2 linked regions of the Xenopus tropicalis genome follow. Each later gene encodes a partner of the first gene's protein in a complex. Links are inferred from orthologs where the notes say so. Each region holds a gene or a part of one and is shown in the gene's direction. Other genes may lie near its edges.

Region 1 (15,594 bases):
ATAGAGCTCTACATTGTTCAGAGGGTATAGTTTTCCTTTAAAGCAGTGTGCAGTGTTTCTAATCAAGGTGTTTAATACTTCATGGAAGGCAGAAAGCACATAACTGTGACATTTCTGTGTATAGCAACAGAATATGATGGGGATGGGATAATATGTCAATACCCATACATACCAATACACATAAAACATGGGAAAGGGCTGATCTAACTAAACATAAATATGGACTATGTATTCAATGACAGATGGAGAGATGTGGCTTTAATGTGCTATGAGATTTAATTACCAACCATTTTGTTCTTGCAAAGAGTCCATTCCAGAAAAATAAAGGACATAGTAACATAGTAACATAGTAAGTTGGGTTGAAAAAAGACATATACGTCCATCAAGTTCAACCATAATGCCTATATATAACCTGCCTAACTACTAGTTGATCCAGAGGAAGGCAAAAAACCCCATCTGAAGCCTCTCTAATTTGCCACAGAGGGGAAAAAATTCCTTCCTGACTCCAAGATGGCAAAAGTAAAGAAACATGCCTGCTGTTCAAAAATGTCAAGTGAATTAAATTGCACTGAAGAGAGCTGGCTGAAGGCTGCCTGGCTCATCATCCTGCTGCTATAAAATGTTAATGTGCATCTTTCTTTGTGACAGAATCAGCTGCCTGAACTTGATACGGCTGAATCTGCCAGAGCAATAGCTTTTATCTCCTGGCTCAGAGAACAGAGACCTTTTTTCCCAACATTACATATAATACGGTAAGTAAACACATCTCTGACCTGGCACAATTGGCCTTTCATTGAAAGGGGAAACTGTTCTTAAAGGGCTAGTTACACCAAATTGGTTAGGCTGCCTCGCACTTTTGTATATATATATATATAATAATTTATAATACTAGAAATGTGTGTATAATTGTTTCTTCAGAAGTTCTAATGTGTGAGCATTGTTTTTATTATGTTTTCCATTGATAATGTTGGTCCCTAAGAGTGATGGCAGATAGGACATTTTGTCGCCCCTGCTAAATCTCCTCAAACACAGGCAACAAAATGTCCAAAAATTCCTTTGTATTGGTGTTAGTATGTAAATCTCTGCTGGCAAAACCTTTGAACTCAGTCTACACTGAGAGAAGGTAATATCTGGCACTGACACGATTCAAAGTTTTACCATTGGAGATTGATTCACATTAATGACAGTGCAAAACTGCTTTCCCATCTTCCAGTGCCCTTTCTGTGCCCACTGCTCTAAAGCTTGGCTTAGTGATTTTCAGAAACAAAAGAAGCAGCTGTGCAGGGGTTAAAAGGTGCCTTGGGAGTAGCACTGTCTGAAAGTGAAGCCATAGTCAAAAATATCATCGTAACCCAGTGTAAGAGAGAGGTTTCCCATTAAAACATGGAACACTGCCTGGTAAGCAATGAAGTGTGTAATCTCTGATTTTGTGTTCCTTCAGCGATGAAAGCCCTCTGAAATCAGCCTTCCTGCAGAACATGATCGAAGACCGAACAGAATCTGCTTTATCTTACTATGAGTTCCTCCTGCACCTTCAGCAGCAAGTGAACAAATAAAGCGCTGCCGAGAGCAGAGAGCGAGACAATATCCACAGCAGAACCACACCTCGTGGCCTGCCCATTCTGTGCATTACTACATTTTGGGGCCTCATGCCATAAGATGTGCATACACTGTGATTTCAAACCAATCAGATCTTCTAGGACAATACTTGGGGACTGAAATGCGCAAGCACACAGCATTTTTAAATTGGATTTAAAAAAACAAAACAAAAAATTTGTGATGCTTCTTTCTGCCAGATGATTGTTAAAATAACTATTAATGAATCGTTAATTTTCCACTGCCAGATGGGTCTTTAGACACTACATAGGACTCTTCTTGGCACCAAAGCATCCATGCGTATATTCAGGAGATGAAACGGAGTTCAATAACAATAAAGCCAGATTTTTCTTCAGAATATCTATATTTTTTTCTTTCTGTCTGCTTTCCTGTAACTCTTATTTTGCTGCTAGTTATTTCTTCTGTAATGGCAAGATGTCTAGAGTAATTATATGAATCGTGTTCCAAAATAAAAATGAAACCTTTGTTAATAAGATACCGAATCACTTAGGACCAAAGTGAGTAAATGGCAGGCTGAGAAGTCATATCCTGGCATATCCAGGTCTCTGTAAGGGCTGTGCCTAAGGCAATAGGATAAATCTGCAGATTCTCAATATAGAAACAGGCAGAGTGCAGAGATAAGAAAGCAAAAAGCACCATGTCTTAAGAATGTATGTAAAAAATGACCATGTAAAGGGAAAGTAAACTGTCATGGTTCTTATTTTGCAAGAGCTTTGATTCTTTCCACATTTTTAAACATGTTTTAGTTGCAGAAAACGGAAAAATAGTCCTTTTTTGGTAGCATGCTTCAATGATGAATGATAGTGTGGAACATGAAAGTCACCAAAAGTGACATTTAAAGTTATAGTAACACGTTACTTGTGTGGAGTTTTATTTTGTACACATTGTCTTAATAAGGAGGGTTGTTGAATGGGAGCAGGAAGCAAGCAATTAATTCCCCTAAAGTGGGAATGATCCTTTTTTCTTTTCTATGCCACCCGCCTTGATTTATAAAAATCAAAATATTGCTTGCTTTGCTTTTGATTTAAAAAGGTTTCCTTCCTTTCCCTCCAGGAAAAAGTCTGCTTGCCTTTGTACACTACAGCTTATTGTACTAAGCAGGTTTCAAGGCTTCAGTCAAGCTCACAATGTTATTCAGTAACAGGCACCAAAAGCAACCCGCAAGAGTCTCTTTATCACTTTGGTTCTACATAGGATTGCACCTTTGACTATTAGATACACTGATCAACCCCATCAACAGCCGAGATGCCATGTAATGAGTCTCTCTGCCCGTCCCCCTTGTATGTTTAATAAGCTGGCACAATTTTCTACATTAATGGCTCTAATTTATTGTGAAGTGAACTGATAGAACAAAATGTGTGTAATAACCTTAGATTTTCTTTGTTTTAATAAAAAAAGCACCTTTTATTCTGGGATTTCATGTTAATAAAGTTTTTAAAGAGTTAATGTTTTTCCCAGTTTCATCATGTTCAGCTAAGGCATTGCTAGTTCTTTCCTACCCTTTTCTGTCTTGCTAGAACAGCAAATAGCTGCTGATGGAAAGCGTGGCAACAAAAATGGAAATTTGTACAGGTATGGGACTTGTTATCCAAAATGCTCAGGATCTGGTCTGGATAAGGGGTCTTTTTGTAATTTCGATCTCCTTACCTAAGTCTACTTAAAATAATATAAACATTAAATAAACCCAATAGGATTGTTTTGCCTCCAATAAGAATCAATTATACCTTAGTTGGGATCAAGTGCAAGGTACTGTTTTATTATTACAGAGAAAAAGGAAATCGTTAAAAAAAAAAAAAAAAATTATTGCTTATAATGGAGTCTATGGGAGATGGGCTTCTCTTAATTCTGAGCTTTCTGCATAACGGTTCCTGAATAAGGGATCCTATACCTGTGCAAAGATACTATTTGCCCCTTACATTATTCTGTTTGATATGCTCCTGTATATGTTCATAAAGCGCGATCGTCAGGCAATGTTCTTATGTTTTTTAAAGGAGAAAAAAAAGGTAAAAACTAAGCTTTATCAGAATGGTCTATGTAAATATAGCCATAAGCACTCACAGAAACACTGCACTGACTTCTCTGTAAAAATATTTTTTGGGTCTGTTTTCCTCTGTTAGAGACACGCAGCTCTCTGCTCTCTCCTCTCTCAAGAATGCTAAGAAACCCCCCCCCTTGGATCTGAGCCAATCAGCAGGAAGCTGACTCATAGTCTTACTAACTGAGCATGTACACCGGTCTTGCGCTTGGTGCAGGAGTGAGGCATTATGGGAACTTTCTTTACACAGCTCAGCGTTTTTTCTTGTATATATGGGGAGACTTAAGGGCACTATTGAGACAACTGAAGATATGACTGCAGCTTGAGATTAACTCTTTATTAGCCTTTCCTTCTCCTTTAAATATTTTGTTGGCACCATGCCCCCCCCCCCCACCCCAATTAAATTGTTTCCTTGTCCTTTAAAGGAAAATAAAGAATATGGCTTGCCCCACGTGAAATTTCCAAATTAAATATTAAAAAAAAAAACCTGTTTGTACTTTTGAAAAACAGATTTCAATGCAGAATTCTGCTGGAGATATCAACTGATGCATATTGGGGGGAAAAAACATGTTTCCCAGGGTGCCAAAACTTGTGCTCTGATAAACTTCAGTCTCTCTTTACTGCTGTGCTGCAAGTTGGAGTACTATAGACCTCTTAAACTCTTGTTCTGTACCTCTTGTACGGAATACCTAAATTTGTCAACAATTCCGTGGTTAGGCTCATTGTGTCGGGTGGTGGGTTCATTGTGAGATGCTTTTTGCAGTGTGTGGAGAGTTTCTACTATCCCCAGCCAGTGCTTATACCTTTTGCAGCTTGTAGAGTATATTCAGAGTCACAAATACACAAATTAGTCAAATCTTAAGGTATGGTTTCATTGCCTTGCACTGCTTCTATACCACCATTATTTGGTTTACTTGCCAATATGGCTTTCCAGCCTTCCAGCTGTGCCATACACATTAGCAGCGGTGAAAGGCTGAAGATGGGTTGTATCAGAGAAAGTAGGCAGAAGCCCTGTTTCCATTGCTGTGAAAGGGAGCAGTGGCTGAAAGGTTGGGGAGATATATCTCTGCACTTCTTTATTCCATAAACTCCATGTCCGCACTCACTGGGTTAGTATCTCCTCTCATGCTTTAAAAGACCACTAAAGTGCCAAAGGGAAACCAAAATGTGGACGTTTTCAGGAAAACGTACAGGGTAAAACTTAGGGTACTGATAGGTTGAACAGCAAAGTCCTGTTAAGACTTAATACAAAAAGCAGAGAAATTTGCGCTGAACTTGCAAGCAGCACTTGTGGCTCTCAACAGTGCTCAGAACGCTTACACTGTACATAGCAATGTCTGAAGCACAGGGAGAAGCTCCCACAGTGTATTAACAAATAGCCAATTTTACTAGATGAAATCTACCAAGTTAAGGGGATGGTGAGATAAAAAATGATTGGACCCCCTGTGCCTGGGTACTCAATGACAAAGAGTAACCCTCACATCAAGGTAATCCGTATTCAGGATTCTCCCAAGCCATGAGGAGTCATAAAGAGTACAAAATCACTAAACAGTATATTAAATCCTTTAATGATAAATAATCACAAAGGGGGTGATTTATTAACGGTCAAGTTTAAGTTTTTTTGTGCTAAAAAAAAAAATCTAATTTTGTTTCAAAAACTCAACTGTCTGGTATCTGTTAAGCGCAAAAAAACCCGAAAACCCAAATGTAAAAATTCATCTAAATTCACCAATTCACTATCTAAAAGCTTGTAGGTTTCTACAGAAATCAATGGGAGTTGTCATAGGCAAGGCCAAGCCATACAGATGCTGAATTCTCCCTTCTCCTCCTGTTAATGCTTGTATGGCCTGACTGAATTAATCAAAAATGCCAGTTTTTTTTTATATATTGGATTGACATAACTTTCCTCCAATCCTTTAGCACCATAATAGATAAAAGGATGCCCAAGAAAATTTTAAACAGTGGCTAAAACTAAGCTAAGCTGTCAGTAAGCAATAAACACCACATTCTGTCAGCCACTAACACTGAGCATTTGTACAACAGAATGGGTCCCGTTACTCTGACTCCTCTATTATATATTCAGACGAAAAATAATGATTTAAATTGGCATTTTCAGCTGGATAAACATAATTATGTTTCATTCAATGTCACTGACTATGTAACAATGTTTCCAAAATACCTGCAACAAGCCTCTCTCCATTTCTGCGTTTGGCTTATTCCTTAGCCCCGCCTCTTCCTGCAAGCAAGGTCAGGTGACCGTAATGTCATGGCACGCCCTTCCCCCTGCCCGGAGGCTGTCAGCACAGAGTGGGATGTGAGCTGTTCATTGTGCCAGTGCTTCTATAGAGCGGACGGGGAGGCATTCGGGATTGTCAGAATCTCTGCACCCAGGGACTATGGCGAGTCCGGCTGTTCCGGGAGAGCCGGGGAATGGGGCGGCGATGAGTGCATCCCAGAGGAGAGCGGAGATCCGGCGGAGGAAGTTGATGAGTAACTCTGAGGAGAGAATGAACCGGATTATGGGTATTCACAAGCCAGGGAACAGCGGTGAGACAGAGGCGCAATCATTGGGCTACATGGCTGTGTGAGACAGCGGCAGCCGCATTCATTCCTGTGCTTTATTGTGCATTGGGCGGTGACTGTGCCATAAACCCCATGGCTCGCCTGGCAATGGGCCTGCTATATAGGGAGATGGAGAACTGTACAGTCATTATAGGGCTGGGGCTGTGTGGCACAGACATGTGTGGGGCAGCCAGGCTGCAACAGATGTACACATGTGTATAGTGTAGGGCAGCGACTGTGCGGCGGCCAGGTGTATAGTGTGGGGCGGCGACTGTGCGGCGGGCAGGTGTATAATATGGGGCAGCGATTGTGCAACAGGCAGGTGTATAATATGGGGCAGCGACTGTGCAACAGGCAGGTGTATAATATGGGTTAGCGACTGTGCTGCAGGCAGGTTTATTTTATGGGGTAGCGACTGTGCGGCAGGCAGGTGTATAATATGGGGCAACGACTGTGTGGCAGACAGGTGTATTATATGGGGTAGCAGGATTTTTTCTTGTAGACTGTCAATGAATTTTAATATTGTAAGTGCAACTTTTTTTTCTCCCCCATTTTCTGGTGCAGATGAACTTCGCTTTGAAAGACTTGATAAATCTGATTCACTGTCCTTATCTTCCTTGACCAAGAGAAGTGATATCCTTTCTGGGGATGGAGGCCTTTCAGCAGAGCACCACTGTAGCAGTGTAGATGGCAAGGAACCTTATATTGGAGACAAGATGGACTTCTTAAAGAATGCTGATGTCAGAGATGATAGCAATGGCGTACGAAACAGAACAGATGTGAATTCAGAGCCCACCTCAAGAGGATTAGATGAATACTTATCAAGGTTTGATGAGGCCATGAAACTTCGGAACCAGTTAAATAGTGAGAAGCCAAGTGCAGACAATGGGAATGGAGTAGATGAGTTGGACTCTTTCCGCATATTCAGACTAGTGGGCAGTGCGCTCCTTGCTTTTGCTGTCCGGATGTTTGTGTGCAAGTACTTGGTAAGTAGTTTTCTTCTGTTAAGATGACCACATAGTACTTGTCAATCAGCATATGCATAGGCATGTAGTTAGATGTGCCAGATAAACATAATTATTTTTGTGTTTATCTGGGTTAGTGTATTCTGTAGTGTTCGTGTATCTTGGGGGGGGCGGGGTGCGGCACACACAGCAATCTACTACAGGGTGTAGAGTGCCCCACGGAGTGTGTGCTTCCTCTATATTTACACCATTGCTTCTTGGCAATCTTCTCTGAAATTAGCTGTAAGGCTTGTTATCTCATGTAACATTTTTTCTGTTGTTAGCAAAACTGCTGGCACAGAGACACCAATGAGAGTTTCCAGTGGCTCCCATTCACTTGAATTGGGAATGGGTTGTGCAGGTGTAGCGCTTTTAGGGGCCCAAACTTAATAATAAAAGATAATGTTACTATATTGTTGCTATATGACATTGGGAAACTACTGCATAATGCTGGCTTGTTGATATTACACTGCACAGTTATACAAGACCTGGCTATTCTACTTTCCCCATGGCTGCTTTACTACAGCTATAAAATAACTAATATAATTTTAAAAAATTAGAATCAAAGATCAGTTAGGGGTCGGATAAAAAACTATTGTGCACTTAAAACAAACTTGAAAGAAGAAGAAAACTGCAGATTGCTGTGCTTATTTGTAAGTGACTAAAATTGCTTGCTTTTTACCTTAGGCCAGCGCTTCTCAGAGCCACACACTGCCCTGGGGTACTTCCAGTCCTTGCACCACCCCAAACTTAAGTTTACTGCACATGTACTTTGAAAGGGATACATAGTAGAGGAATAAATGCTCTGCAGAAAAGCACTATGCACAGGATACCTTTTGCTAACACTTTTACCTCCAAAGTGATTGTGTATTTTTGTTCTTGTTTTGCAGTCAATATTTGCACCATTCCTAACACTACAGCTTGCATTTATGGGGTTGTCAAAATATTTTCCAAAGGTAAGCTAGTAGTTTTAGATATGACGCTTTTTTGTTGTTTTTCTAGTAATTTTCAAGACCATTGTAAATAAAAATGAAAAATGTTATAAATTGGTTACGGGATCTATTCATATTCATAATTCTCAGGAACTGCTGGTGGTTTCTTTATATGGGACCATTCAAGACTTATGTTTACGTCAGTCTAAAGTCCTATTATTGTGCGATTCTTGTGCGGTAGTTTACTAGACTAACAGTACACAAATAATCCTGCTGCATAATAATGGAATACGGAACTCAGTGTCTGCAGTTAAACTTAATTAATGGTAACATAGTAAGTGTGAAAGCAAAAATGCTCAATTACTGGTTTCTACAGGTATGGGATCCATACTCTGGAAAGCCATTATCCAGAGTCCATTTTGGACAAATAATTACATTTTTTAAAAATGATTTCCTTTTTCTCTGCAATTATAAAACAGTACCTTGTACTTGATCCCAACTAAGATATAATGAATCCTTATTGGGGGCAGAACAGCCCTATTGGGTTTATTTAATGGTTAAACGATTCCCTTTTCTCTGTAATAATAAAACAGTACCTGTACTTGATCCCAACTAAGATATAATTACCCCTTATTGGGGGCAGAACAGCCCTATTGGGTTTATTTAATGGTTAAATGATTCCCTTTTCTCTGTAATAATAAAACAGTACCTGTACTTGATCCCAACTAAGATATAATTACCCCTTATTGGGGGCAGAACAGCCCTATTGGGTTTATTTAATGGTTAAATGATTCCCTTTTCTCTGTAATAATAAAACAGTACCTGTACTTGATCCCAACTAAGATATAATTACCCCTTATTGGGGGCAGAATAGCCCTATTGGGTTTATTTAATGGTTAAATGATTCCCTTTTCTCTCTAATAATAAAACAGTACCTTGTACTTGATCCTAACTAAGATATAATTAAAACTGCTAGCAGTAAATTTCCCATCTCTCTCTATGGGAGGGCTGACCAGCTTTTATCAGCGTAGGGTCTGCTTTGAGCAATGCTATGCATCATGATCTGCAAGAGTATTATCCAGGTCCTGTAACAATTTGATAGAAACTTATTCAGCAATAAGAAATTCTACATTGCTAATCATTGTTAACCAAACACCACTTATCCCTAAAGTAATAGTTTATTAAAACATGAATACGATTAGTAATCAGAGGATTATCTCTGTGGATAAAGTTCCTCGCTTGAGCTCTGCTGGCTGTGAGCTGGGCTACATTATGGGCAGCATTGCTGTATGGGAATCTGGGACAGGATGATTGTGGGGCTTTTACAATGTCTGTTTTCTGCCCTTACACAATGGTGGTTAAAATTACATGTAGTCCTGCAGCGGGTAGGATGTGGGTCTGCAGGTCTTACCCTGTTTCCCCGAAAATAGGACATCCTCCGAAAGTAAGGCACCCCCCTGATTTTTCACCCCCTCGGAAAATAAGGCACCCCCCGAAAATAAGACACCCACCCAAACGATGGAATAAATGTGTACTGTATTCTTCTTCATGGAAAAATAAGACATCCCCTGAAAATAAGACCTAGTGCATATTTTGGAGCTTAAAAAAATATAAGACAGTGTCTTATTTTCGGGGAAACACGGTATCTATATTTCTTATATTATTTATATTTTACTCCTTTAAACATTTTTTAAATTGTTTTTTTCTACCCCACCCACTTCTGATGATGTCACTTCTGGTTTGTAGCAACAGCACTTCCCGTTTAATGGTGGTCAGCAGGTTGTGATTTGGGTTGTGGATAAAGCAGTTGCAGGTCGGCTCGTGTTGTGGGTCCAAGGGGGTAGAAATGTGGGTTGTAGGCCGTGGGTCTGGTTTCAAAGATTGGTTCAGCACAGGACAGTGTGGGCCATAGCTCTAACAACTGTTGGTAAGGCCTGAAGACAGGCTCGAGAACCTGTAGGATAATCTGATCTTTAACTATGGCCTTTTGTTTTTGTCTTTCAGGGTGAGAAGAAAGTTAAGACAACTGTACTCACTGCTGCCCTTCTTTTGTCTGGAATTCCCTCCGAACTTATAAATCGTTCACTGGATACATATAGCAAGATGGCAGATGTGTTCACTGACCTGTGTGTCTACTTGTTTACATTCATCTTCTGTCATGAATTGCTCTTATATTTTGGCTCTGAGATTCCTTGATAGCTTGTCATAGAACAAAGGAGAGAGTTAAAAGTGTGTGCCAGGAAACAGAATAATTGGAAAGAGAAGTTCTTTTGATTATACAGTCTCCCTTTTACTGAGGGGTGGAACTTGTTACTGTCTGAGGGATGGGACATGTTTCCAACGAATAGTGGAGAATTTTTATGCTTTCATCCATTTGTCAAATGTCTTAAGATTTTTCAGTGTAGTGTGTGTCCCCTAAGTTGGGATAATTATAAAGATCTATCACACAGATATAAGATCCAATTGGAGTTGCAGAGAAATTACCTTTGGTGTATTGTACTGTTTTTATTTTTTGCCATTTCTTGTCAATATTAAGTCATTAAGCACCAGTTAAATAACTACATAAACTATATTTTCAAGAGTTCTTCTGATTATTACCTGTAAATCAAATTGACCGTAAAAAAAGTATCGTAATGACCATATCATACAACTGGGCCAAATTCACTTGGTTGTCGCTAGACATTAAATATTGTTAACGAGGGACAACGCAAACATTATTATTTAAGCATGATGAAATGATATATCCAGCTAATAAGCAGTCAACATACCTTCCTGTCAGAGCAGTTAGTTACAGGTTTGCCTTGAACTTCAGTGAAAGAGTGGAAGACTGGCGGATTTAGCTAAAATTTACTAATTTCTGAATTTACTATCTTTTAATCATGGAAGTATTGTTCAAAGCAAGATAGCATAGCACCATTTATACTATGTTAGTTGGTGGACAGTAGAAGCAGAATTAAAGATTTAGCTATGAGCTATACTGTGTGAGCCCTGTGTGTTGTTTTCTGGCCACTCTCATTGAGCAGGAGGGCAGATTTTATCAGTACAGGTTTGGGACCTCTTATCCAGAATGCTTGGGACCTGAGGTAATTTCTGCATAATGTAATGTGGATATCCATAGCTTCAATCATTTAAACATTAATTAAACCCAAAAGGATTTCTTTTATTATAATGGAGTCTATGGGATATGACCTTCCTGTAATTCGGATCTTTTTGGATAATGGGATACTGGATAACGGATCTCATACCTGTATGTGATAAAGATGGGTTTGCCTCTTCACTGTGAATTTTTGACTGCTATATATGAAGCATGTCAGACTGTATCAGCTTCCAGCACAGCACAGCGCAGGGATGTTTGTTGCACTTTCTTTTGCTCTGTGGCCCCTAGACTCTTCTTATACTTTTAATTAGATGTGGTCCCCAACCTTTTACATTGTCATGTATCAAATATTTTCTGTTTGTTTTTTTTTAATTAAGTTATTGTCATGCATTTTGCGGTTTTGTATATATGTAGTAAAAACTGCAGAATTACTTCGTTATCATTATTAAACTAGTTAACAGTGAACTTGAGAAAAGAGATGTTTACCCTTTATGTGCTGTAGATTTTTCAAATGCAGTGTGTGCAAAGTGATATTAGTAGACATGGTCTCATTTTTTTTTTCTTAAATTTTCAACCTTTAAAGGAGAACGGAAGTAATTTACCTATGTTAGTAAAGCCTTCCTCCTGGCCTGCACAACTGCCCCCCACCCCTTCACATGTTTAGTGTGGACAGTCAATTCAAAGAGAAGGTTAAAGTGGTTATACACCTTTAAATTAACTTTTAGTATGACATAGACATTAATATTTTGAGAAAACTTGCAATTGGTTTTCCTTTTTTATTTTTTGTGGGGTTTTTTTTCAGTTATTAAGCTTTTTGTTCAGCAGCAATCCAGTTTGGAATTTCAGCAGCTATCTAGTTGCTAGGGTCTGGTTTACCTTGGCAATCAGGCAGTGGGTTAAATTATAGACTGAAATATGAAAAGAAGGTGAGCTGAATAGAAAGATAAGGAATACAAAGTAACAATAGCAATAAAATTGTAGCCTCACAGAGCAGTAGTTTTTGACCCCCATGAAGACCAACTACAAAGTTGCTAGGAATAGGATATTCTCTAACATATTAAAAGTTAACATTAGGGGGAATCACCACTTTAAGTGGCACAAGAGGACTCCTGCCAACCCACTGCGATACCCTGTTTTTTGGAAACAGCTAGTGAAAACATGGGAAGTAACAGATATTTATAGCAACTGACCCCTGCGCTGTACCAGGGAACATATTTGGAGAAAACATAGGACATTTTATAGACAGAAGAGAAGTATAAGAAAGAGTTTCCCTTTTTTTAAACTTGATAAATACAGAATTTTAAAGATGCTTGCTCTACAGCTTTTGTACTTTAATATGACTCTTGTTGAGTTGTACGATTATTGTAATTTAGAGGTGGTGTTTTATCTGATGCCTCCCACAAACCAGTGCAGTCCCACTTTTCCACATAGTGGACTAAACATATATATGAAAAACAACTTGCAATAAAAATGTAATAATTAAATTGCAATAAAAAGTAAGGCACTAGCCTGTGGCAGCCCTACCCTCCATAAATATGATTTGAATGCGTGACCATGGTCAAGAGCTATGCTATGTGGGCTCATTTACGATATAAGATGCCAAGGGGTTTATGTTATAAAAGGCACTAAGTTTGCCCAGGAGCAGTAATCCATAACAACCAATTAGAAGGTAGCTTTTACTGGTCACCTCTTTAAAAGTAAATCTTATTGGTTGCTATGAGTTACTGCACCAGGGCAAACAAATATTGGCTGTTGGGGGATTCTCTGCAGCCCCCTCTAGCGCCACCCACACACTTCCTGCTGCACAGATCTGCAACATCCTTCTCTGCTCTTCTCCGGATACAGAACCCCCCACACTAAACTTTTCAGCTTTGGCTATATAGTCATATTGCCACATATAAAACATTTCTATTTCTTAATCATTTATTTTGTAGCCCATTCTGCATATTTTGATTAAGCAATAGTAATGTATTACACATGACAATTTAAGTAGGCAGCCATACAAAGGTATTTTTGGCCAATTTGTTGACAAAGCACCCCTTGTGTCATTACCCTATGGGCTGTAAAACCCAGTGGTTCTGCACACTCTCCACTCCAAGGGCAATGACCTCAGCAGCTAAAACTGAATACATTTTTTTCACCTAATGCAATTTTATTTACCAAATAAACATATATATGGTTCTATGGGGCTCAGTTACCAGTTCCAGTAACAACATTTAAGGCAAAGTTCCTTGTTCCTAAAAAAAAAAAATATATATATATATATAATATACCATAACATACTCTGTTTGTTGTTATTGATTACATAAAATTGAATCATTTGTGTAAAAAAATCTTATTTTATATTCTATATTTTTTTTTCTTTTTACACCAAATGCCTGTAACAAGATAACTACTTTTGGGGAGTTGCACGCTTACGAAGGACAAGGAACAGACCCCATGGGTATAACTATAACATTTACAAAACTTATTCCATAAGAGAGCAGAAAAAAACCCAAAGAATTGAAGCTTGACACTTCTGTTCTAATATAAAAACACACTTTATGGCAATTGCTAGTTAAAAACATGTAACTGCACAAGTTAAAAATTACAAAAATGGTTGCAAAACCATAACATATTAGGAGAACTAAAGCAGTAGTGCAGACATGCTGCACATTATGTTTTGGGCTTTAGTACCAGCCCCAGTAGCCCCCCTCATCATCTTTTCTGCTGATTCACTGCACATGCTCTGTGCTGCTTTCAGTTAGTGACCTTGGGACCGACTCACAATCAGCGCCGGATTTCAAATCCACCCGCCCCGAGTCCGCCCCCCATTCGCGCCCCCGCCTCTCCCCAGCGCGCATGCACGAACAAACCTCCCCACCGTGCTGTGCTGCGCCGACGCAAGTGCGCATGCGCGGCCATTTAAACTCCCATACGGAGCAGTGGGGAGAAGTCCCCATTGCTCCATATGGCCACTAAATGTTAAAATATCATTGCGACGGGGTGGCATACTGCCCCTAAAATTGTGCTGCCCTAGGCCCGGGCCTTTGTGGCCTCGCCACAAATCCGGGCCTGCTCACAATATACTGTATATATACAATATAAGGCTAATTAGTAATTGATACAGATGATTGCTGCATGTCAGTTCAGAAAATAGTGAAATCATCAGAATTCGATAATCAGCCCTGTAGCATCATCTTATGTGACAGGCCAGCCTCATTTTCTGCTTGATAATTTGCGACAACCCCTAAGCTCAGCTTCTAAACAGCCACTCAGAGCACACTGAGCATGTGCAGTGTCACTGACACTTCCAACAATATTGAAGATGTGAAACTCCTGTGACAACTTTGAAGGCACAGATCACTTTAAGGTTAGTACAGTAAAGTCAGTATATATAAAATATTTCATATTCTTTTTGAAGATTAAATTATAACCCTCAGGGCAGCAAAATGCTTGAAAATGACCCATGCATATGGTCAGACTGGCTTGGTAGAGGACCAACTCTGTACTTTTACTAGGCTGCATAATTCACTAGTTCAACAGGGATATTTTATATTGGAACAGAATGCAGCACTAGTTTGTATGAATCAATTTACTATACAGTTATCAACTGAAGACTCTTCCTACCTTGGTCACAAATATCCAGATCCTTCTACTTTTGGACTTACAAATCTTTTAAAAATCCTGGTTACTACCAGACTGTAGCACAAAGAGTTGAGCTTTCCTCTAAATACAGTACTATCTGAATTAGGCACATAGTACTAATCTGAATTAGGATAGGTGGAAAGTGGGCATGAATGCTTAAGCCCAGGTTGCAGGTCCAGACTGGTACACAGAGGCCCAAACAGCCCCCCACCAGCCTAATAAATAGTGATAGCTTATGGTATCTTAAAGTAGCCACTCTGACATTTGCCAGAACCCACAAATTGCCAGTCCAGGCCTGACAGGTTGCATATAATTCACGTGCAGGAGAGCCCTTGTTAAGGTTGCCACCCTTCGTATCTAAAAATACTGGCCAAGGGATAGGGGAGGAGGTGGAATAATAATGCAAAAACAGGGGGCTTTGTGACGCAAGAGTGGCAAGAAGGATCCGGCTGATAAGAATATTTTTCGAGCTGGGAAGGGGCCCCATGATTTCTGTTGGGGGCCCTGAATCCTGTGTTTCTTTTGATAGAGGATTCAGTGCAGCGTTACTGTAAGTGCTTATGGCTGTATTTACATAGACCTTTCTCATAAAGCTTACTTAAGGTGGCCACACACGTGGCGATTTGACGATGTTTCGTGCGACCATCAGTTGCACAAAACATCGTCAGATCCGCCACACACCGTCAGAGCTGAAAAAATAGGATTTCTACCTCCTTCTGC
Region 2 (15,788 bases), on another chromosome or scaffold:
AGATAGTACACAATTCTTTAGAGGGAAATCCGTCACCTTGGGAGATTTATTAGTTTAAAAGTGTAAATTGTACGCAGGACAACATGAGTACAAAGAACAGTTAAAACGTTAAGACATTTTAATAGCCGTGATCTTTGCGCCAGTTGTACCAGTATCGGGCACTGCCTGTTCGACCGGCAGCCTGCATAGAGTACTAGCCGTTTTGTAACAAAATAAAAAAAACATTTTAGACTGCTCAAGGCTTGCACTCCCCACAGTAACTGGTTTGTGGTGTAGTATTAACTGGTATAGTATTCATAGCCTTTACAAACCATACAGGGGCAATGTACCAAATCATAAGTGTTTAAAAAAAATTTTTTTTACAACAAAAAAATGGTGGGGATTCCCTCCTATTTTAAAAATGTGTTTTCTAGAATTAAACTACTAAAAAACTTGCATTTACAAAATAGTTGATAAAAATATTCCTCTGAATTGTACAAGGGAGGTACAGGAACCACTGATAAAAGACTCGGTACAAGATGAAGGTTATTCAGACTTTGATTCCTTGTCGCCTCCATCAGAAGCAGGGGCCTGGTAGGAAGAGAAAAAGAGAAAGTTAAATACAATTTTTATCTTGGTTCTCATTATCTTATTATCCAGAAAGTATGGAATTATTGCTATGCCAAATCCCAGGTTTAGGTCATGGGCTATTTTGATCTTACCAAGAAGCATAGTTCAAGGGAAACAGTCAAAAGAATCGACAGCACCATCAAGGTGCTATGGAGGGTTCAGCAAATGTGTTTATTTAGAATTAATCCAGGTTTATTACTAAACAATCCTATCATAGTTCCTAATGTTGAAGGGCTTTCTTACCCACAACACTGCTTTAAATTTTAAAGACCCCCCCCCATTTTTTAGAAAGCCACAGGTCTTTTTGCTCTGGATAATAAATCCCATTTCCCATCACCCATGTGCAAATACTTGTTTTAATGGTTAGACTGTTAGGGTTTACTCCTTTTGTAGCTACACCAAAACTTATGCATATGAAACTGTTCTACAAGCCATTTTGCTATAGCACTAAATATTTAGGGCAGTGCGTTTACTGATCTTAGCCCAGTTGGCCATTAGGTTGGACCCTCCCATGTAAAGAAACATTTTAATGCAACCCTACAGTATTGTAACCTTTGATCTCATGTAATTCCATACCTAAGGTAAAGTATAAAGCAAATTGCAAGTGTACAGGGCTACAGCCAACACTGAAATGTTCAGAATTCAACTGAGGACTGCCAACTCCTATAGGGACAGCAGGGAAGTAGTGTAAAAACAGAAAAGCCAGCAAACAATTGGCAGCCCAGTAATTGCCACCTACTGCTTGGAAGCACCAATTGCTGTGCATTACTAACCCCAAGTACCACTTTACTCATTTGCTTTTGTATTAGGTCTTCCTTCAGTGCAAATTAAAACTACTGGACTAAATGTAAACCCTTCCTAAATGTAAACCCAATAAAATACTAAAGAATTTTGCACAATAAAGTAAAATTCCAAAATATATTAAAATCACCTAAAATGTATTCTTGCCATTTAAACCAGTAGGGCGTTGCTCGCTATTCTATGCACCATTGATCCCGACTACATGTGCTGCTGAACCAATGTACTACAATTACTGTTCAAGTTACCAAATTCCTTTGCATATTCTGTCACTCATTCACAGGCTTGTTATCATGGAACACGCAAGTTTTGTGAAAGTCTTGGCTAAAGGAGAGGGGACTGCTACTACATGTAATTAGGACATTAAAGGTGAATTTGAAAGCGGTTTAGAATTAGATGGAGTTTCCAATTTGTCAATGGACACCTACGCAATTCAAAAGACTATGATCCCTAAATAAAGGTTTTATATCAACCAACAAAACTTTGTTATGAAAAGTTTTCATGTCTGCCAAGTACTGTGCATTAGTAAAAGAAACTGCTATGGTACAAACTCCGTTCCATTAGAGTTGCTGCTTGAGGTTTCACAACAACACCTAACCACAGCACTGCTTCTTTATACACAAACACTTGTGCTAATTGTCTAATACATGTATCGAGGTTTAAACTCATGCATAAATGCCAATAGTCACGATTAACCAGGAAAAGCAGACTAAGATCTTGTATCTTCACTTTCAACATGAGTCTTTGATATTAACTTTGTTGCAATGCTGCAGACTTACCTCGTCACTTTTTGTTTCTCCGTTTTCAGACGGCTGGTCTTCCTTAGCTTCTTCTTTGTTAGCTTCCTCTGTCTGTTTGCCCTTTGCTCCCTTTTTACCCTTTGCTGGAACTTTTTTCTCCTTCTCCTCAGGCTTTTCCTGAACACAGTGACAGTATAAGAGTTAGCCATATATCCATCACAACGGGCTACATCAACTGCCATTACATCATAAATGGCAAATCACAACTCCAATATAACTGATCGGAGTATGGACCTGCATCTTTGGTTCTGAACATTTGAATACATAGTCCTAGTGAACTTATCCTAAAGTGACAGCTCACTTTTAAGTATGTTTTAGAACCTCCTACTTTAGATGGTTTTTACACATTATTTCTTGTCTGCCTTCATTTTTTGCACTTTAAACTGTAAGCTGGAGATAGGAGAGTTCACTGACCCCAGCAACCAGGTAACTATTGCTGAGGTTAACATTATATGGTTAATTTACTTATCCCTCTATTCATCTTCCAGACTGTCATTCAAACAACTACCTGGTGGGCCCTAGCAACCAGAAAGCTACTAAAGATACCAAACTAGAGCTGATATGGAGAACAACTGCAAACTGCACATGTATCAGTCTACTTCACACTAAAACCCCTTTGGAAAAAGTACTGTAAACATTTTATATTTAAAGCAGGAATCTATTTATAGTTCTAGATACATGTAACCACCCTATTGAATGTTTAAATTTCTCACTGTAGTCTCTGCTGCTACCACAGCACTTGTCTATACAAATGGCACTAGTGTTACAGCAAGAAGCGTATTAAAAATGCTGAAGGCCTTTGTTTTTGCTCTTATGGTATTTTAACAGTTATATATAATTACTCAATCCATTTAGGAAATGGGGCAAGGGGAAACATACCCACTACCCAAGCTCCCAATGCACTTGTGCAAAACCACCTAAGTTGTAATAGGAAGCAACCTAATGCATACTGTAAAAATGGCAATATAGTATTGGCCAATTACTATAGTTGCAGGTCATCTCACTTCATCTACCAAGAGACATAACATTTCATTCTTGACAGTGTCAAGACAACCCAGAGGCAAAAAAGTTGGGATGCACAGCCATCATTAAACATCTGGAGTTTTACCCAATGATGTGGGTTGTGGACAATACTCTAGCCATGCATTCAAAATTAACTTCTATATCACAATCTGCCTTTTGGGTACCCTGTGCTACACAAACTGACAGCATGCTAAAAATAAACTGGACAGTGACCTAAAGGGACAGTGCCCAACAAAACAAGTGGCTTGCTCTGGGGAAAAAAATAAAACCTAATTTTAGCCTGCTACAAGTCACTCAAGGTATCAGTGTAAAGGCATAAAAAGCAAGGTTGACAGATGTATGGAAAGTGTAGGCATCAGTCTAACTGGGAGAAAGACTTATTAGCTATTGTCCCAATTTTGTTTTTAAACATGCAATGTTTTGAAAGCAATACAAACGAATAAAAGTTAGTTACCTTTACGGGTGCCTTGTCTTTTTTTGGCTTTGGTTCAGCTTTTGGTGGGGCTGGTTTCTACAAGAAATTCAGATGGTTAATAATGGCAGATTGGTTATATAGAATCTTAACCACTCAAATAATAAACAGTTTGAGCACTTTTGCAACTTAAATATTATTTGCCAAGAACTTTTTTGGAAGACAGAGCTACCCTGTCTATTCACTTCCTGCATTCTGTATTGCTGACTCTTAGCAAAGCCAAAAGTTCAGTCTAAAATGCAAACAGACAACTAGAAGTGGAAAGTTAATATCAACTGCAAGAGAGCTCAATAAAGCCTGCAGAGTAAACCCCTGTTTAAAGGGGGTTAGCTCCCCTTTAACAAGCAAAGTGAAGGAGAAAATCTAACATGTGTAAAACTCAGTTGAAATCTCAAAAAATTAGACATAAATGGATCAATGTAGATACTCTTAAACATGGCCACTGAACTACACTTTATGCTCGTCTCATCAAGCTTCCAATATACATTACGTTCAATGATTTCATAAGTTATGTCTAAATCGAATTACTATCGTCTGACAACTGAATGCAGCATCAGCCAAGACTCAAATTCCCACAATGCCTTGCATGTTCGCAATAAGGGATAACAAGCGTGCAAGGCAGGGGAACAGAGTTCTGCTGCATTTCGGGTGGCAACACCAAAGGTCAGACATACTGTCTTAAGTTAAAGGAACAGTAACACCAAAAAATGAAAGTGTATAAAAGTAACTAAAATATAACGTGCTGCTGCCCTGCACTGGTAGAAGTTGTGTGTTTACTTCAGAAAGTCTACTATAATTTATATAAATAAGCTGCTGTGTAGCCATGGGGGCAGCCATTCAAAGGAGAAAAGGCACAGGCACATAGATAACAGATAAAACACTATTGTATTCTACAGAGCTTATCTGTTATCTGCTATGTAACCTGTGCCGTTTCTCCTTTTTTCCAGCTTGAATGACTGCCCCCGGGGCTACACAGCAACTTATTATATAAATTATAGTAGTGTTACTGTAGCAAACACACCAGTTTTACCAGTGCATTATATTTTTATTACTCTAAAGCTCTTTCATTTTTTGGTGTTACTGTTCCTTTAAAATGTTATTTGCAAATACACACACACACAGGAGAGCAACTTAATTAAATTTATCTTTTTTTATGTAAAAGGAAAAAATTTTGTTGAACTCCCGCCTCAATACCAAGGTTTAATTGCTACAAAAAATGCTTGAGCTCCATGAATGATACAAACCGTAACACTTACAGCCGACAACCGTGCCGATCTCCTCTTGGGCTAAAAAATTAAAAAAAATATAAAAATATGATTAGATACAGCAAAGTAATAAAACTTTTGAGAAGTGTTTTGGTTGAAATCACTGCTCCTCACCTCATCCTTGGCATCTGCAGCATCAGCAGCATTCACCTGCTGGAATAAGAAAGTGCCATTAGTCACAACACCACAGTATTAAACACAAAGAAGAATGACAGGTTGCGGGCAAAGGGATTTAGATCAGGGCAGGGTATCAGCGCTGATAAGCGCACAGTACATGACCTTGGACAAGACAATGCACAAATACCCATTGCAACAGGTTAGTGACCCGCCGCACCAGCAGATGGCGCTAAGCAGGTAAACCAATACTCCAAGGCAAAAACAAACCACACACGGAAGGAGAGGGGTGGGCGCGCTAAAGAAGAATTAAAGACGCCTGGTAACCCAAACACGCACTCGTCATGACCATGTAACGGATTTACCCCCCACTCCCACTTAAACAATTACTCTTTAGTCGACTTAGGAATCGAATGCCACCTATCTATTGCGCGACCCCCCCTTCCCTTAAAAATGGTACAGTCCCCTCAGCGGAGATAACACGCACAGGGGCAGCCCATGTCAACTCTAGCAGGGGGGGGGAGGGAATGATAAAGTGACGTCACTAGTTCAATCATTCGCCCCATTGGCTCTGGGGGATCCGGGAACGTTCTAGAACGAGCAAGACCTTCCCCCTTTCAGGCGCTGACCAGTCCGAACGAAGGAGCGCTGAAGAGAACTAGAGCCGAGGGAAACGCAGGGAGAAGGAGGAGGGGGCAGTAGAGGGAAGGAGCGCTCATCTCGTCCAACCCCCTCCCGCCCGACATTACTCCTCTTACACACACCCCCCTCGTTGTTTTCACCACACGCCTCTATAGAGGGGCCAACTAATGGCCCGCTGGAGGTTAGACTTGCAATCCCCCGGAGGGCCACTTGCAGCGTATACAATCTCTCACACACACACACAACCCCCGCCATGTTGTGGTCGTGCACTCCCGACGACATTACCTCACAGAATTCCCGCCACAGCCGCCTCCCGCCATTCTCCATAATTAAAACTCCAACCCTCCATGTTGTTTAAAGTAAAACAAAAATCAACGCGGAACCTCCTACGCCGTCTCCCCAAGCGAAGAAGCCCGCCATTCCTAATAGGAACCCCCCCCCCCTCAGCAAGTCACCGCGACCCCCTCAGGAAAACGAAGAAAAATAGTGCGGGCTGCTTTCCCCCCCATTAAAGTAAAAGCGTTTGCAATTCCAGTAGGAAAAGTTCCAAATGCACCACATTCTAAAAAGGTATCCCACCGCCATTTTTTTCAAAGCCTCGGCGTCGCCACAAGCGGACTTTCTATCCACCGCGGATATATCCATGTAGAAAGCGAACGGCGGACGAATACGCGCGTCCGACATAAACCCATTTGCCGCTTGCAATTCCCGCTAATATTCGCAGGGAGCCCTCCGCGTCCTTGCAGCGCTCCTCCTTACCTTTCTCTTAGGCATGGCTGCACTGAGGGCTTGTGTGCACCGCTTGAATCCAAAGACAGAAGCAACGGGAACGCTTAGCAGCCTTCTCTGCAAATGGACGCCTACACACTTAAATCCCTGGCTTGCTTGCACTTATTTATATATATATTTGTTTTTTCTATGTGCGAGCCCTCCTGCAGATGGAGTACTCACAAAGACTAGTCGGCTCCCTAGCGCTTGCAAGCGGTTAATATGCGAGCCAGAGAACTAGTTCAAACCGGATAGGATCCCTCCGCCTCTTTATCTATTCACCGCTCTAACCTGTTGGGGGGGCTGGAGAGAATGGGGGGAGGGGAAGCGTATGTCCCACCCCGGTCCCCCCTTTCCATTGGCTCTCAGTGGATTTTCAAACCATAACACGGGCACCTGTCTGGGTAGGTTAGCCTGTCACTCACCCCCCCCCTCCCCTCCTCCTCCTTCCTTTTCTCCCTAAGGGGGGATGTGGCGGCGGTGGGGTAGTAAATCGGCTTTGGGATTTTTTTTTTTTTTTCACGTTTGTTTGAATCGCTGGTGGTAAATACAAGGGCGCTCGCTGATTGGCTGAGACGCATCGTGCTTGGAGCGACGTCACTATCCACGCTGTTCCCTGCGATCGCTGTTTTAACCCGATCTCGTCGCTGCTGAGTGTGTGTGTGTGGGGGGGGGGGATACAATAGATCCAATTGGTACCGACCATAATAAAAAAAAAACTATCTTTGTCCTATAGATCTTTATAGCGATATCATGTTTTGATTCTTTCCACCTCTAAAGGGGGAGGGGTTTGCTGATCGCTATTGTTGCAGCCGATGTGGGAGCTGCTGGGAAACATGGCGGAGAGCTGTGCGGCGTGGCTGTTAGTGCTGAGCGCCGTGTTTCTGTGCAATCTCTGTAAAATCCTGCTTCCTTCTTTCTCCTCGCTTGTAAGTAAGCGACTGATCGCCCGAGAATCGCGGGAGGGGGACGATATGCTGTAGGGGGGAAGACACACGGAGCTACTTGACTAAAACAGACAATGCTGATCATTTACTGATAATTGTCTCTACGTGTGTTTAGCAGAGGCAATTCTCAGTATTGTCTATGGCAGGGGATTTTCTGGCGTTTAGTAGCCGTGACAAGTAGCTGCTACTAGTAGTGTCTTCACCCTAAGGGTGTGGAATACACTGAGCTACTAGTAGCAGCTGCTTGTCACGGCTACTAAAACAGACAATGCTGATCATTTACTGATAATTGTCTCTGTGTGTGTTTAGCAGGGGAAATTCTCAGTATTGTCTATGGCAGGGGATTTTAGTAGCTGCTACTAGTCGCTCTGTGTGTCTTCACCCTTAAGGGCAAAGACACATGGAGCTACTTAGTAGCAGCTACTTGTCACAGCTACAACATGCCAGAAAATCCCCTGCCATAGACAATACTGAGAATTGCCTCTGCTAAACACACACAGGGACAATTATCAGTAAATGATCAGCATTGTCTGTTTTAGTAGCCACAACAAGTAGCTGCTACTAGTAGCTCCGTGTGTCTTCACCCTTAGGGTGAAGACAGACTAGGCTACTAGTAGCAGCTACTTGTCACAGCTACTAAACTCCAGAAAATCCCCTGCCATAGACAATACTGAGAATTGCCTCTGCTAAAACACACGTAGAGACTGTTATCAGTAAATGATCAGCATTGTCTGTTTTAGTAGCCACGACAAGTAGCTGCTACTAGTAGCTCAGTGTATTCCACACCCTTAGGGTGAAGACAGACTAGGCTACTAGTAGCAGCTACTTGTCACGGCTACAAAATGCCAGAAAATCCCCTGCCATAGACAATACTGAGAATTGCCTCTGCTAAAACACACATAGACAGTTATCAGTAAATGATCAGCATTGTCTGTTTTAGTAGCCACGACAAGTAGCTGCTACTAGTAGCTCTGTGTGTCTTCACCCTTAAGGAAGAAGGGGGACAGGGTTGTTGTGTTAGAAAATGAGTAAAAAAGTCTCCTAGTGCTCCAGGAATATAGAGGTGCCTGATCTTTAATACACAGCATTGGCAAAGCTGCAGCCCAATTCCCCATAGAATGCTGGTTTTAATATGGAATATAGTCTAGGGATTGTATCTGCTGCCTGTTATAGCGATGTCACAACTGCCATCTTTATTGTGGCATCATTATAACCTTCCCTCACGTTAAGCACTGCTATATTGCAGGTTTATATCGGCTACGCGCATTAGGGAACCCCTATATGAAGGGAAACATTTATTATTATTAACATTTATTTATAAAGCGCCAACATATCCCGCAGCGCTGTACAATAAGTGGGTTTCATACATTGGGCATACAGAGTAACAAATAAAGCAATTAATAACCAATACAGGAGGGGAAGAGAGCCCTGCCCAAAAGAGCTTACACTCTACAAACATCTCCCCTTGGGAGGGTAGAGTTTAATTCCGCAAATGGCTAGGAGTGGAAAGGGGTAAGCCTAATGCTAGGAAATCCTGCCATTAACAAGTATGGAGGGTTCTGCTGTCTGTCAGCTTTTTTTTTTTTCTCCCAGTGCGTCCCCAAGTGTTTTTTTAAACATCACAAGACGGCCATGCCACCATTGTGTCATCTCTTTATGTCTCATGGTTGCCAACTGTTTCCACTGACAGTTCCCTTTTTTTTTTTAAAAAAAAAAAAAAAATACTTTTTCTTTAACATTTAAAAAAAATAAGCTATGTACATTCTATTGTGGGTGAAAAAGCAGGGGGGTAGAATCGGTAAATAAAAAGGGATATTTGCATTACACAAATGTTATTATTTCGAGGTTATGGAGCAAAGTATGTTAAGCACATTCAAACCTGTGTCCAATGGCATCATGTGAATGTTACTTGCGAGTACTGGGTGCTGAACCCCGCTTGATAGATGGCTGCAAAAGTGGAGGATGCATTAAGTAAAAATCTGTTAATTTAAAATTTATGTTTTGCACTGATTTAAAATTGCATTTAACTTAAAATTTATGTTTTGTACAGGTATAGGATGCCTTATCCGGAAACCCGTTATCCAGAAAGTTCAGAATTATGGAAAGGATATCTTCCATAGACTCCATTATAAGCAAATAATTCTAATTTTTAAAAATGATTTCCTTTTTCTCTGTAATAATAAAACAGTACCTGTACTTGATCCCAACTAAGATATAATTACCCCTTATTGGGGGCAGAACAGCCCTATTGGGTTTATTTAATGGTTAAATGATTCCCTTTTCTCTGTAATAATAAAACAGTACCTGTACTTGATCCCAACTAAGATATAATTACCCCTTATTGGGGCAGAACAGCCCTATTGGGTTTATTTCATGGTTAAATGATTCCCTTTTCTCTGTAATAATAAAACAGTACCTGGACTTGATCCCAACTAAGATATAATTACCCCTTATTGGGGGCAGAACAGCCCTATTGGGTTTATTTAATGGTTAAATGATTCCCTTTTCTCTGTAATAATAAAACAGTACCTGTACTTGATCCCAACTAAGATATAATTACCCCTTATTGGGGGCAGAGCAGCCCTATTGGGTTTATTTAATGGTTAAATGATTCCCTTTTCTCTGTAATAATAAAACAGTACCTGTACTTGATCCCAACTAAGATATAATTACCCCTTATTGGGGCAGAACAGCCCTATTGGGTTTATTTCATGGTTAAATGATTCCCTTTTCTCTGTAATAATAAAACAGTACCTGTACTTGATCCCAACTAAGATATAATTAATCCTTATTGGGGGCAGAACAATCCTATTGGGTTTATTCAATATTTAAATGATTTTTAGTAGACTTAAGTTATGGAGGTACAAATTATGGAAAGATCCCTTATCTGGAAAACATCGGGTTCGGAGCATTCTGGATAACAGGTCCCTTGCCTTTACTTATTTGTAGTTCTGTTGCTTCCTGATTGTCGAGCAAATGGCAGAAACACAAAAAAGCCCCATTGGCTAACTGACTACAGCATTCCAGCTGCTGAGTTGTTCACCTTTAAAGCTAATGCCCCAAGGAGAGATACATTGCCCCTTATAAATCTCTGCTGCCGCGGGCGACTAATCTCCTCGAAATACCCTTCCACCAGCAGCAAATTGAATCCCTGGTGCAAAGGCATACGCGTTGCTTCATTTTCCCAAAGTCGTGCAAAGAATTTGGCTGTGGTAGAAAACTTCATGCGACTACGGTAAAAGAGATTTATCGCGGACAACTAATCTCTTCATGGGGCATTAGCCTAAGTGATATTCTGAGAACATTGGCAACTGAGTAATAAAATGTGTGCCTCACAGAGACACAGACATTTCTAGCTGCCAGGGTCAGGAGAGGATCTTTTATCTGAAATGGTTGGGACCAGGGGCTTTTCCAGATAAAAGATCTTTTGATAATTTGGGTCTTCATACCTTAAAGGTGGTCATACACGTGAAGATCCGCTCTCTTTGCGAGGTGGCCAAGCAAGCGGATCTTCTTCCAAAATCCCCACCTATGGGTGGGCGATATCGGGAAAATGTAGGCTAATTTGATTGTTTGTAACTTGGGCCAAGTGATCGAATTACAATGGGAGCAATGGGCGCAGTCAGTTCGGGGACCGCATCAATGATCCGACGTAATCTTTTAACCTGCCTGATCGATATCTATCCAATTTCAAGCCAGATATCGGCTGGGCAGGCCCCTCGTTCCTGCCCCTACACGGGCCGATAAGCTGCCGAATCAGTCTAAGGGACCGATATCGGCTGCTACAATCGGCCCGTGTATGGCCACCTTTAGTCTTCGAAACAAACTTTTCAACATGAAATAGACCCAATAAGATTATTTCGCTACCAGTATGGATTCAAGTACAAGGTTCTGTTTTATTGTTACAGAGAAGAAGGAAATCATTTAGATAAATGATTATGTGGTTATAATTGACTCTATAGGAGACAACGTTGCTCTAGTTCTGGGCTTTCTGGATAATGGCACATCCCTACCCTTAACAGACTGTGTAGGGGGAATTGACACAACTAGTAATATGTTTAGGTTGAAATAGGAAGGTTGTTGGACTGGGGTGTGTGGGGCCACCGCCTCAAGGGCCCACTACTCCCGTCCCATACTTCCTCCCTCAGGCCCTCTTTCAATAACTCCAAAATGGTTAGGGGGGAGTGGGGGAGGGAAAGCAGTGATCCAGGGTGAGCAGGCCTAATTCTCCTGGTACCCCTGAACAGAAACCTTTACTAAACAATGATTATTTTAAACAGGGTTACTATCACTGATCACTAATTGGCTGCTATGGTTTACAACTCAGGAGACTACAAATTCTATCAGTTTACCTTGAATGCCCCCCTGATCTCCGTTTACTTATACAGGGCATTTAAACAGTCATAGTTTCTTCTGCTTTGCCGATATTTCAACATGTAAACTGATTTTCGTGTTCTTGTGCAACATTTGCCTTCTTAACACATTGATGCCAATGGGGCTGCTGTAAGATGCCATATACTATTGTTTACTGGGCTTGGTGGGGTTTCTTAGGCCTTGAAATGCTGGGGCTTAAGCCGGCCATCCACGCACTGATAATATCGTATGATATTTGGTGAGTGTATGGTGGCTTGACGAGCCAAGCGATATCGCAAAAGGCTGTGGATATTGGTCGACTCGTTTAATTGGCCAGGTTAAAAGATTTTGATCTGGTGCCATTGAGCAAAATCTACATTCAGGGCTGAATCGACAGAAGGAGGTAGAATTTCTAACATCGAAATTGCTACGTGTATGGCCACCTTAAATTTGAAATTTTGGTCTGGACCTGTTTCAGATGGGTATAAACTTGATGGATGTGAGTCTACTTACGTATGTTACTATGTATTTAGGTTTTTGCCTGGATGTTCCCTAAACCTCCATGTAATGATGATAATACTTTTTCTCTTTTCCACATTCGTGTCTTAGATGTGGATAGTGAATAAATAAATGCCCAAAAATCTTGTATTTCCCCTGCAGGTCTCCAGGCTACTACAGGAAGATGCGGAGCAGGAGTATGAGATGAGGTCTGATATCCAGACCATGAGGCAAGAACTCTCTAATATCAGCATGATGGACGAGTTTGCCAAATACGCCAGATTGGAACGCAAAATCAACAAGATGACCGACAAACTTAAAACACATGGTAAAGTGATCGGGTTTCAGCAGTGTGCGATGTTTTAGCTTTCCCTCTTTACTATGATGAATTCAGTCGGTAATGTTAAATTCCATTTATCATGTGTTTTTCATTATAAATAAGTAAGCTATAAAGGAGTGCGGATATGCACAGAGAAACGTATGTATTCTAACTAGATCAGAGTATTAGCGCTGTGCCATGTTTGCAAAAGCCAATCAAATTAACTCCTTTAATGCAAATGTGTCCCGGATGGTTTGTAGCGATCGTATTCTGTTACGTCTGCATATTCATATTGGGACACATTTGTTTATCTACATTGGAAACTGCAGTGAGAAATTGCTTGATGATATTTCAGAATAAATTGAGGCCATGGCAAAAGCAGTTTCTGGGAGCAAACAGTAGAGCGTTATGTTTGGTTTCATCCGCTTCCCTCTTATCCAATAGCAAGCCATTTATTACATTTGGGGGTTAGTGTCTTTGATTACATTGGGACCGATTCACAAAAGGTCGAAAAAACGAGTTTTATTTTTAGCATGCGTTAAAAATATCACTTCTTATAATTTGAGAATTAACGATCGATTCACAAAAAAGAGACTTGTGTGAATGAAGAAGCGATTTTATTGTCGTTATTTATCTTGCGATGACATATTTTTTTTTTTTTTGTAGCTCAAATTTTTATTTGGAGAGTTATCATGCAATACACATAATACATATGAAACATTGCTCATCAAGACATCTTGACAATTAGTTCGTTGGGATTTTCCTTTGATATATAAATGAGATAAACATGGTATTAACAGATTTAGAACCGATAGAACAGTGAGTAATATAGTCCAGACATTATTACCTTGTATATTCTGTAGTTCTACAACCTCTATCTTTGTTAAAGGAACAGTAACACTAAAAAATGAAAGAGCGTTAAAGTATTAAAAATATAATGCACTGTTGTCCTGCACTGGTAAAACTGGTGTGTTTGCTACAGTAACACTACTATAATTTATATAATAAGCTGCTGTGTAGCCATGGGGGCAGCCATTCAAGCTGGAAAAAAGGAGAAAAGGCACAGGTTACATAGCAGATAACAAATAAGTTCTGTAGAATACAATAGTGTTTTATCTGTTATCTGCTATGTAACCTGTGCCTTTTCTCCTTTGAATGGCTGCCTCCATGGCTACATAGCAGCTTATTTATATAAATTATAGTAGACTTTCTGAAGTAAACACACAACTTTTACCAGTGCAGGGCAGCAGCACATTATATTTTAGCTACTTTTATACACTTTCATTTTTTGGTGTTACTGTTTCTTTAAGATATGGCTTTCAACTTCCATCATGTATGATATTTGTGTTTATGGGATTTTCTGAGCTCTCCTGGGGGTACAATGCGAAATAGGCTTCCCATGGTGACCATACATTGGCATTTGATTGTACATTATTTGTTATAGAGGCAGTCATAGTTTCAAATCGTTTATTGTTTTCCACTCTTGTTATAAACCTCGAATATACTGGGGATAGTTTGTGACTTCCATTTGGAAGTAAGTGCTAATCGTGCCGCTGTTGTGATGTGGTTTACTAGTTTTTGAACTGGGCGTTTAAGTCTCGCTATGGGTTGTCCCAGTATGAGGTATGGTAGTTGAATGTTTAGTGGCAATGCAAGTACCAAGCTGATTAGATTGCTCACCTCTTTCCAGTAGTTTGTTACCAAGGGGCATTGCCATAGTATGTGGCTTAGGGTACCTCTGGTCGTACATCCCCTCCAACAGTATGGGGAGCTATTTGGGTAAATTTTGCGATGACATATTTTTAATCGATATTTTAAAGCATGCAATATATTTATGCGTTATTTCATAGCACACAATATTAGCGCACACTATTACGCACGTAACCGTTACTTTCTGAAAACTACTGTTCTGAAAATTACCATTTCCATGAAAACTCCCGAACCCACGCAGCAGGAACCGAACCGAATCCGAATCCTAATTAGCATATGCTGATTAGGATCGGAAGGGGTTAAAAAAAATTTCACTGCCATTTAACCCTTTCCGAATTCTAATTAGCATATACTAATTAGGATTTGGTTCGGCCAGGACCGCAGATCTGTCCGAAACTGAATCCTTAAAAAAAAAAAAGCCGGGATTTGGCCGAATCCCGAACCAAATCCGGGATTCGGTGCATCCCTGTTGTTTAGTAACGCCTACTCCTGGGAGGTGTTAAATTTCACAGTTATTATCGCCAGATTTTATGCTTTTAACACTTAAAATATGTCTGTAAATTATGCGTAAGCACTATTTCTATTAAATAATTATCGCAATGTGATGGACACAGCGCTTTGCAATATTTGAGATTTTTGCGCATGCGCTATGAGTAGTAACGCATGCCAAATTACTTTGATGAATCGTTACTTAAAAAACGAACACTTTTTAACGCATAAAACTATACGTTAAGGGGCTGATTTACTAACCCACGAATCCGACCCGAATTGGAAAAGTTCCGACTTGAAAACGAATATTTTGCGACTTTTTCGTATGTTTTGCGATTTTTTCGGATTCTGTACGAATTTTTCGGATCCAATACGATTTTTGCGTAAAAACGCGAGTTTTTCGTATCCATTACGAAAGTTGCGTAAAAAGTTGCGCATTTTGCATAGCGTTAAAACTTACGCGAAAAGTTGCGCATTTTTCGTAGCGTTAAAACTTAACGCTACGAAAAATGCGCAACTTTTCGCGTAAGTTTTAACGCTACGCAAAATGCGCAACTTTTTACGCAACTTTCGTAATGTATAGGAAAACTCGCGTTTTTACGCAAAAATCGTATTGGATCCGAAAAATTCGTAAAGAATCCGAAAAAATCGCAAAACATACGAAAAAATCGCAAAGTACCGATCATTACGAAAAAAACGCAATCGGACTCCATTCGACCCGTTCGTGGGTAAGTAAATCAGCCCCTAAGTGTTAACAACCTTTAGTGAATCGGCCCCATAGTGTGTAAAGCTTCTCAGTGGCTTAGGGAATGTTAAAATTGTGTATTTGTAACTTTACATGTGGCTGTGCACACAGTAACATTTCACATATCCCAAATAGTGCGCTCATATTACAGTTTTGCACAGGATATAGGCACATTTCAATAGGAAATCAATTTTTTTGAACTTCTGGCTTCTGTTGATTCTGTTGAAGTCAGTAAG

What was found.
Region 2: camlg (region 1) and get1 share a complex: the UniProt entries of both Homo sapiens proteins name them as parts of the golgi to ER traffic (GET) complex. The link is inferred for Xenopus tropicalis from reciprocal best matches to the Homo sapiens genes CAMLG and GET1.

Annotation. Positions count from the first base shown.
Region 1 is NC_030679.2:26,209,777-26,225,370, reverse strand, and holds camlg (calcium signal-modulating cyclophilin ligand), read left to right. Parts: upstream 1-5,921; 5' UTR 5,922-6,048; coding exon 6,049-6,199; intron 6,200-6,461; exon of another isoform or gene 6,462-6,532; intron 6,533-6,778; coding exon 6,779-7,200; intron 7,201-8,108; coding exon 8,109-8,174; intron 8,175-10,154; coding exon 10,155-10,346; 3' UTR 10,347-11,717; downstream 11,718-15,594. Other genes in the region: protein transport protein Sec24A, read left to right, coding at 649-752, 1,442-1,556. UniProt on the Homo sapiens protein: Required for the post-translational delivery of tail-anchored (TA) proteins to the endoplasmic reticulum.
Region 2 is NC_030678.2:11,726,863-11,742,650, reverse strand, and holds the start of get1 (tail-anchored protein insertion receptor WRB), read left to right. Parts: upstream 1-7,286; 5' UTR 7,287-7,327; coding exon 7,328-7,420; intron 7,421-12,451; coding exon 12,452-12,617; intron 12,618-15,788. Other genes in the region: hmgn1 (non-histone chromosomal protein HMG-14), read right to left, coding at 526-570, 2,187-2,324, 3,685-3,741, 4,947-4,988, 5,082-5,120, 6,483-6,497. UniProt on the Homo sapiens protein: Required for the post-translational delivery of tail-anchored (TA) proteins to the endoplasmic reticulum (ER).